2 linked regions of the Xenopus tropicalis genome follow. Each later gene encodes a partner of the first gene's protein in a complex. Links are inferred from orthologs where the notes say so. Each region holds a gene or a part of one and is shown on either strand. Other genes may lie near its edges.

The links.
Region 2: the proteins of kiaa0895l (region 1) and tuba1b are in contact, whole or in part, in a cryo-EM structure (PDB 7Z6S), measured with the Homo sapiens proteins. The link is inferred for Xenopus tropicalis from reciprocal best matches to the Homo sapiens genes MATCAP1 and TUBA1B. Residues at the interface, in NP_001035805.1 of Homo sapiens: Lys219, Cys220, Trp223, Val226, Arg227, Gly237, Glu238, Val239, Val240, Val241, Gln242, Leu243, Met253, Met254, Val255, Glu256, Asn257, Ser258, Arg259, Pro260, Thr261; in NP_006073.2 of Homo sapiens: Asp345, Trp346, Arg422, Glu423, Ala426, Ala427, Glu429, Lys430, Asp431, Glu433, Glu434, Val435, Gly436, Val437, Asp438, Ser439, Val440, Glu441.

The regions. Positions count from the first base shown.
Region 1 is NC_030680.2:76,349,426-76,352,911, forward strand, and holds the end of kiaa0895l (uncharacterized protein KIAA0895-like homolog), read right to left. Parts: intron 3,477-3,486; coding exon 3,379-3,476; intron 1,763-3,378; coding exon 1,598-1,762; 3' UTR 753-1,597; downstream 1-752. UniProt on the Homo sapiens protein: Tyrosine carboxypeptidase that removes the C-terminal tyrosine residue of alpha-tubulin, thereby regulating microtubule dynamics and function. Also able to remove the C-terminal phenylalanine residue of alpha-tubulin TUBA8.
Region 2 is NC_030678.2:136,561,072-136,565,417, reverse strand, and holds the start of tuba1b (1), read left to right. Parts: upstream 1-1,342; 5' UTR 1,343-1,418; coding exon 1,419-1,421; intron 1,422-3,079; exon of another isoform or gene 3,080-3,122; coding exon of another isoform or gene 3,123-3,125; intron 3,126-3,238; coding exon 3,239-3,461; intron 3,462-3,741; coding exon 3,742-3,890; intron 3,891-4,346. UniProt on the Homo sapiens protein: Tubulin is the major constituent of microtubules, protein filaments consisting of alpha- and beta-tubulin heterodimers. Microtubules grow by the addition of GTP-tubulin dimers to the microtubule end, where a stabilizing cap forms.

The sequences.
Region 1 (3,486 bases):
TGGAGGAGGCCGTAGGAGGGCAACAACCCAGGAGCAGGAACGCTACCTCTGCCTTTGTGCAAGGAAGAACAGGAGGAGCACTGCCAGAGCCCTGCAAAATGACCTCCAGTGGGCCACAAATGTGCATGCGTCTGTTCAAACAGTCAGAAACAGACTCCATAAGGGTGGCATGAGGGCCCGACGTCCACAGGTGGGGGTTGTGCTTACAGCCCAACATCGTGCAGGACGTTTGGCATTTGCCAGAGAACACCAAGATTGGCAAATTTGGCACTGGCACCCTGTGCTCTTCACAGATGAAAGCAGGTTCACACTGAGCACATGTGACAGACATGACAGAGTCTGGAGACACCGTGGAGAACGTTCTGCTGCTTATTTAATAAGAATATTTCATTCATTCAGATCTAGGATGTCTTATTTTTGTGTTCCCTTTATTTTTTTGAGCAGTGTATATACTAATACTATTGTGACAAAAGCAAATTGCATTTGCAAAGTTACATAGTAAAAAAGGAAACTATCCATCATGTTCAACCCTTCAGTGTGTGTTCCGGCATCTCTTCCTCCTATTAAGCAATAAATGGAAAAAAAAGTATCATGTAGGAATTCCTTACCTGAAGGCAATATCTTTTGCTATTTATAATGAATGTTGCCCTATTGATTCAATGATGGACCAGCCTGTGAGAGTGCAGGTAAGACATGGTCCCTAAATCATTATTCACAAAATTACAAACAATGATCACATGGAATGTAAGAAGGTGGTTCTTTTTACATTTTATTAAATAATATTTACAGGTGAAAAACAAAAACACACAATTAAGAAATATTACTTATAATGTATAGGATGTTTTAAAACTTGCTGCTTTATTCCTAAAAACATGCAGTTAAGTCATTAACTCAGTCATTTAAAGGAAACTGAGGGCATGATTAATTGTCACCTCATTTTAATACTGTTAGGGTAAGGGCCTGCTGTGCTACTTCCCATGGCCAATATCCCTAAGTCACTTAAGTTAAAGCATTTTGTGCACTCAAAACTTATATTCTGTTGCACACAGGGACAATGCACTGGCTCAGGATGCACGGTCCCTGATGTACACAATGGGCAGCACATGAGTATATGCAACATGAAAAAAGTAGGGCCATGTCCTAAGGATCATAGAAGGTATGTAATAGGACACAGGACACTGCTAGCAGTGGGAAGGGGCACAGAAGCCTATGCCCTAAAAAGCTAATGAGTGCATGTAGAACTGGGCCTTTACTCTTTACTTTTAAATCATTCACCCCGTGCACACATCACTAAGAAATGAAATCATGAGCATTAATTAACACTTTAGCAATGTGAAATTGTGCTCATTAGACTGGTCCTCCTTTTACTCCTGTTCTGCACAACAGTTCTGTTTCACAGTGCACTGTGCCCCATTACTCCCATTTACTATATAACAGTGCATCAAATCTTCTAATTCACTGTTACAGAAACACCTACTACTTTCCCAATACATACTGTATACTGTAAGTAAAACACAATTCTCCTCCAATCCCGTAGCCATAACCCATTTAGCCCTTGCTGTGACTGGGGGTTGCTTTAGACAGCATTCTGCCCTCATCAGTTAGGTAGTAAAGCTTGCAGCTCCTCATCAGTAAGCTGGTTTGTTTCCATGATGTGCCGAAGTTGATGGTGGTATTTCTCCAGATCCTGCATAAAGTGAGGAATCCGAATATTATCTAGCTCGGCAAACTTCTGTAGCTCATCTACATCCTCATAGGATACCTAAGAAAGAAGGCAATAAAACCCTCCTCATCAAACAACAAAGTAGAATAGTCAGGCATTACTTAGGGGCACATTTACTAATCCACGAACGTCCGAAAAGAGTCCGAATGCGTTTTTTTCGTAATGATCGGTATTTTGCGATTTTTCGTAAATTGTCGCAAGTTTTTCGTAGCCATTACGACTTGCTCGCAAATTGTCGCAACTTTTTCGTAGCCATTATGACTTGCTCGTAAATTGTCGTGACTTTTTCGTAGCCATTACTACTTGCTCGTAAATTGTAGCGACTTTTTCGTAGCCGTCGTGCCGAGTGCGAAAGTTTCGAATTCATTCAAGCTTCAGTATCGTGACTTTCCTTGGGCCAGGTTGGAGCTGCAGAGTGCCATTGAGTCCTATGGGAGGCTTCCAAAATCATGCAAAGTCGCAAAGGTTTGCCCGCCGTTTACGAGCGCTCAATACGAAAAAGTAGCGACAATATACAAGCAAGTCGTAATGGCTATGAAAAAGTTGCGACAATTTATGAGCAAGTCGTAATGGCTACGAAAAAGTTGCGACAATTTACGAAAAATTTTTCCAATCCAAGCTTGGAAATATATACTTTAAGCCAATATGTAAGTATATACTGTATATATCTTTACTTATAAAGTGCTACTTATTTATGTAGCACTGTACAGTGGAAATTAATACAACAAACAGGAAGTTATTACAATAATAGATAAATACAAAGTATGGCATTGGATACAAATAAATACAAGGTGCAGTTGCAACAAGTTTAGAAACAAGAGGATGGGGTCCCTGCACACAAAGCTTACAATCTATATGATAATACCCCTTTCTTTACCATTAGTTCAATGTATAAGGCATGTGTTTAACACACATTATATGTATTGTTTTAATTGGGAAATTTTTTTTATTTTTTTTGTTCTTTCCAGCCAACAGGACTATGATTTGGTTCTGATTCACGGTAGGCATCTTGGTGCAAAGCATTAACAATATATACAGTGCTTAATTATGCATCACTATAAATGGTTTGTAGTTATTCCACATTATGTTATTAAGTAATGTACACATTGTAACAGTAATGTACACAATGAAGCTTGGATTGACATAATGATGTCATGGTTTGTAGCACAAAGGTTTATGGGAAAGTAGAAAAAAACATGAGCAATTTAGAAATATACCTTGCGGATGTACACACATTTTTGTAATAATGTGTAAAAACACCATGTGAGATATAGCCCCTGGAAATTATAAAGTTGGGGAAAGAAAGGAATTTGTTTAAAATAAGGGCTCCTCACTTAACTAGACAGACTGTAAGGGTGATGGCACACAAGGAGACACCTTAGCATTGATGTCAGTAAGAATTGCCGGCAGTAAAACATATGAATTGCATCACCTCTGAAAGATGCTGGAGAAGGCAGTTTCAGGTGGTAATGCAATTCATGTGTTTTACCACTGGAAATTCATGCTAACGCAAATGCTAAGGTGTTTTCAGGAGATTTGTTGCTCACACAAATTTCCTACAAATGACAAATCTCCTTGTGTGCCATCAACCTCAGTGATGCTTATAATTGGAATGACAAAATAGTCATGATGAGGTAGTTTAAATCTTACTATACCTTTCCAAGGGAAGTTAACAGGCGAAAATCGATGGTATGTCGGTGCCGCAGAATGCGCAGTATTCCATCAAGATAGACTTGGTCTTTACTGAAGCAGCCTGGGGAGAT
Region 2 (4,346 bases), on another chromosome or scaffold:
GCGCTGTAAACACTGGGACTGTCCTGCGAAAAGCAGGACAGTTGGGGGATATGTCTATGGTCTAGGCCAGTGATCCCCAACCAGTGGCTCAGGGGCAACATGTTGCTCACCAACCCTTTGGATGTTGCTCCCAGTGGCCCTAAAGGAGGTGCGAATTTTTGAAATCTGGGCTTTATGTCAAGTTTTTGTCGTATGAAAACCAGGTTTACTGCCAAACAGAGCCTTCTGTAAGCTGCCAGTCTACATAGGGGCTACCAAATAGCCAATGCCAGCCCTTATTTAGCACCCCAGGAACCTTTTTCATGCTTGTGTTGCTCCCCAACTCTTTTTATGGCTCACAGGTCAAAAAGGTTGGGGATCCCTGATGTAGTCTGAGTGCTGGTTTTGTATTTCCCAGTATAAAGGACTAGCTGGCAAGCCTGACTGCCGCACACTGTGGGCTGTGGGTAGGTCTGAGTATTACACTGGGTCAGTGCCAACGTCCTACTTAAGGTGCCGCATTTTCTATCTGCAAGATCAGCTTCCTTTGCCGCATTCTAGACTATATTCCCATAGAGACGAACCATGTCAGCACGGGGGTGGGGGGAGAAAGGAAGAGCGCACTTTTATTAACCCTGTAGCTACAGTGACGCCCCTGCAACCCGCCGTCCGTTCCATCGCAGCAGCTACTGGGCCTGCAACCCCCAATGATTTGCAGTTCCGCTACTGGAACCTGTTGGCACGCCCGATCCCGGCCCGTCCCCTGACTGGAATGTCCCGCATCCCCCAGCAGTGGTACATCCCTGTGCCAAGCAGATAGCATTGTATGTGGATAATGTAGCGCTGCCCTCCTTATACCCTACCCTTATAATCAGCCGTGAGTTAAAAAGCATTAGTTTATCACGCATTGAGCTTTTAACACAAGGATATCCTCCTCTGTGGGATGCTGAGATTAACTATTAGCCAACTGCTGGGGAGCTGCGGGTTCCATATTCCCGCGGTCTTTCCCATCAGGATTTGAGTAAAATGGAGCCGTTTCAGAATTGACATTACAGCGGTGTTGTTTGTAACTATTGCGCCTCACTGCGAATATATTGTAATCCGCCGTAATAAGGATTATCAGGAATTACAGAGGCCCAAAATAACCGTGAGGGATGAGTCGGCCATTTTACGCCAATAAAACTCAGCGAGATGAAGAGGACCAAAAGCTCCCGCCTCCTCCGTTCGTACAAGTATCTGAGGCGCTCAGCCAATCACACAGCAGCCGCAGCTTATTAACATAATACAGCAACGCGTCACCGCCCATGGAGTATAAAAGGCACAGTCGGCTCCTCTGCCTCCCATTCTGTTACTTACATCCACTCTTCATTGTGGGATAAAGTAACGTATTTTATTTCATTTTTTAAATTTTTTTCTTGTTTCTTCGTTGACTTTTAACCATGGTAAGTAGCCTTTATGTTTTTTTTTTTTTTTTATCCATGGCCTTAGCCATTAAAATGATAGCTTGTCCACATCTTTTTCTGAAAAAAAAATAATGAACAGCTGGGCAAAGGACGACGTGGAAGGGAATTCCTCTAGTTGAGGGAATACCTTGTTCTAGTTTCAGCGCTGCTGGCTGTACGTAAGTACTGAATGGAAGGGATTGGGATGAGGAGAAGCTCGGATGGAACGGGTCTTCCCGCGCTGATAGCGGCGCGCTTTGTGCTGGTCTGTGTGTGTGTGTGTGTCTGTGTGTGTGTCTGTGTGTGTGTGGGCGCGATGCCCCGGCCTTATATACTGCCTGGGGGGGGAGTCATAGTCAGTGCAGATTGCTTTCAGTGATAACTAGAACAGGCTAGTGCTCCCCAAACTCTTTGCCGCAATAGCCTCACACATATCTAGGCGATCTAGGGAGTAAGTGATTTAGGGCTATAATAATAATAATAATAGCCCCACTAGGCTGGACCTTCTGCCTGAGACTGACAGTACCTCTGTGTCACCCAGGGGAAAACGTTGCTAGAGAGCTTTGTAATCAGACATTGATGTAACCTTGAGTGCCATGTTAGTGATTTCCATAACCAAAGCAGGAGGCAACATATTCCTGTTAAACAAAATAAAACTAACTGGCCTAACTAGGGTCTGTACACTTGAAAGAGATGCAATTTGCAGTAACTTTAGATCCCCCTAAAACAGGTTAATCAATAAGTATCCTTCTCTTGGACCTGAGTTGAATGTGTGTAGAGGTGGGTACATATGCGATATAGTAAAATTAAACCTTAAAAGGACAGTGGAGAGTAGGGTAAAATGAATGGCAGGCTAGGTATGTTTGTGCTGAAATGGTTCATTCACATAGCGGCTGATATATCCCGGCACATAATCATTTCCCTAGATGTGGCTTTGACAGATGTTCTAGCAAATGTTTCACATATTAGCATTCCACAAATGTATTTCTATACTATTATGAGATTGCAGCTGCACTATAACAGTTTTTGTGCGGAATGCCTGAAGGCATGTGCAGAAGCCGAGTGACTAGACAGCAGCTGCCGGGTGTGGAAAGCAGCAATGCCAATCAGTTGTTGGGCAGGGGGCGGCTTTTGTGAGGTAATCCTGCTTTAGCGGAAAGCCGGTACATGTTCTACTTTCATGTTGAAAGGGGCCGACACATGGATTGTGGGGGGTGGGAACAGCTTGTAGGCTTCTGCCTGCAAACGTGGAAGTAGTGTCAGCTGATGGCTATGGGTGTGTAATCTGCACTGCTGGTAGGTTTTCTATGTCATATCTGGCAGTCGGGTTAGCAGGCTTGTTTGCACTTTCACATGACAAATCATGTGAGGGGGTAGAGATGTGGGGGCTATTGACTCCAGAGTCCAAGTAGTGCGGTAGAACATAATCTACTGGTAAATAATAGCTGGACTGCTTTATTGGTAATACATGGCCATTTTTTGGCTCTTGGCTAAGGTACCCAGTATGCAATCTAGAAAAAACTCCTTATAGGAAATGTATTTGCTAGGATGGTGGCTGAATGACGACCTGTGGTCTTTGTTGCATACGTGTGTGTGTTTGTGAACACATCAGAAGCCAGTTATCTACATGTATTAGTGTGAAAGGAAACCCAAGCAGAGAATATTGCAACGCCTTGCATTTCATTTTGTTTGATTTTAGCCATGGTACTGAGGACCCTAGTGATTGTCTCCTTCCATCACTGATTTTGGGAATAGATTCTGTACTCACTTAGCAAAACTGTGTTTCTCTATGTATTACATTTTTTTTTTGTTTACAGCGTGAGTGCATCTCTATACACGTTGGCCAGGCTGGTGTGCAGATCGGCAATGCCTGCTGGGAACTGTATTGTTTGGAACATGGCATCCAACCTGATGGGCAGATGCCCAGTGACAAGACCATTGGAGGAGGGGACGACTCCTTCAACACCTTTTTCAGTGAAACTGGAGCAGGAAAGCATGTCCCCAGAGCTGTGTTTGTTGACCTGGAACCCACTGTCATTGGTGAGAAAACAACCAAGGCTGTTTAATGTTTCTTTGTATATAATAGAATTGTACATATATGACCCCTGGTATAATATATATTTCATGTCAGTATGAAGTCCATGACCACAATAGACACAAGGCCAAAGGCAGGGTGCTTTTTATGCAGGTCATAAAACTCAGGGGTGGCTTCTAATCTCAGGGGTTATTGAGTGGCCAATTTTCTTTATTTTTTGCACAAATTACATCACAAGCACAGACCTATATAATTTATTGTATTTATTTTTTTTTCCTTTTGCAGATGAGGTGCGCACAGGAACATACCGTCAGCTGTTCCACCCAGAGCAGTTAATTACCGGAAAGGAGGATGCTGCCAATAACTATGCCCGTGGTCACTATACAATTGGCAAAGAAATTATTGATCTAGTACTGGACAGAATCCGCAAACTGGTAAGCATTCAAGTTTATACAAATGCAGAAAAGAAACAACTTATTAGCGCGGTGTCTCCATAGCCTACGATTGCAGGCTGAATTGTACTTGCTGTAACAGTACTAATTATATTTCTCTTGGAACAACTGGTTTCAGATGCAATGTTTATGCTATCTAAAACATGCCGGTGCATTTCATGCAGAAGTGCCTATTAAACATTTTACCTTTTTAAATGGGTGGAAGGCAGGGTAGTTTTGGTTTGAAATAATGTAGCAAAGAACATTCACTGTTAAGCAATTTACCTATGTTTGAAGAATTACTGTCAGTGTGGCAGTGAACTGAAGTCACAACATCTCTTTACATGCACAGTCTGGTCTATATTAAGCAAAGTGAAGAATGAGTGCTCACAAGTTACATTAATGGTGCTCATCACAAGGGTGCTTGTTACTCTTTTGGTGTATTAAAAAGTTGCATAT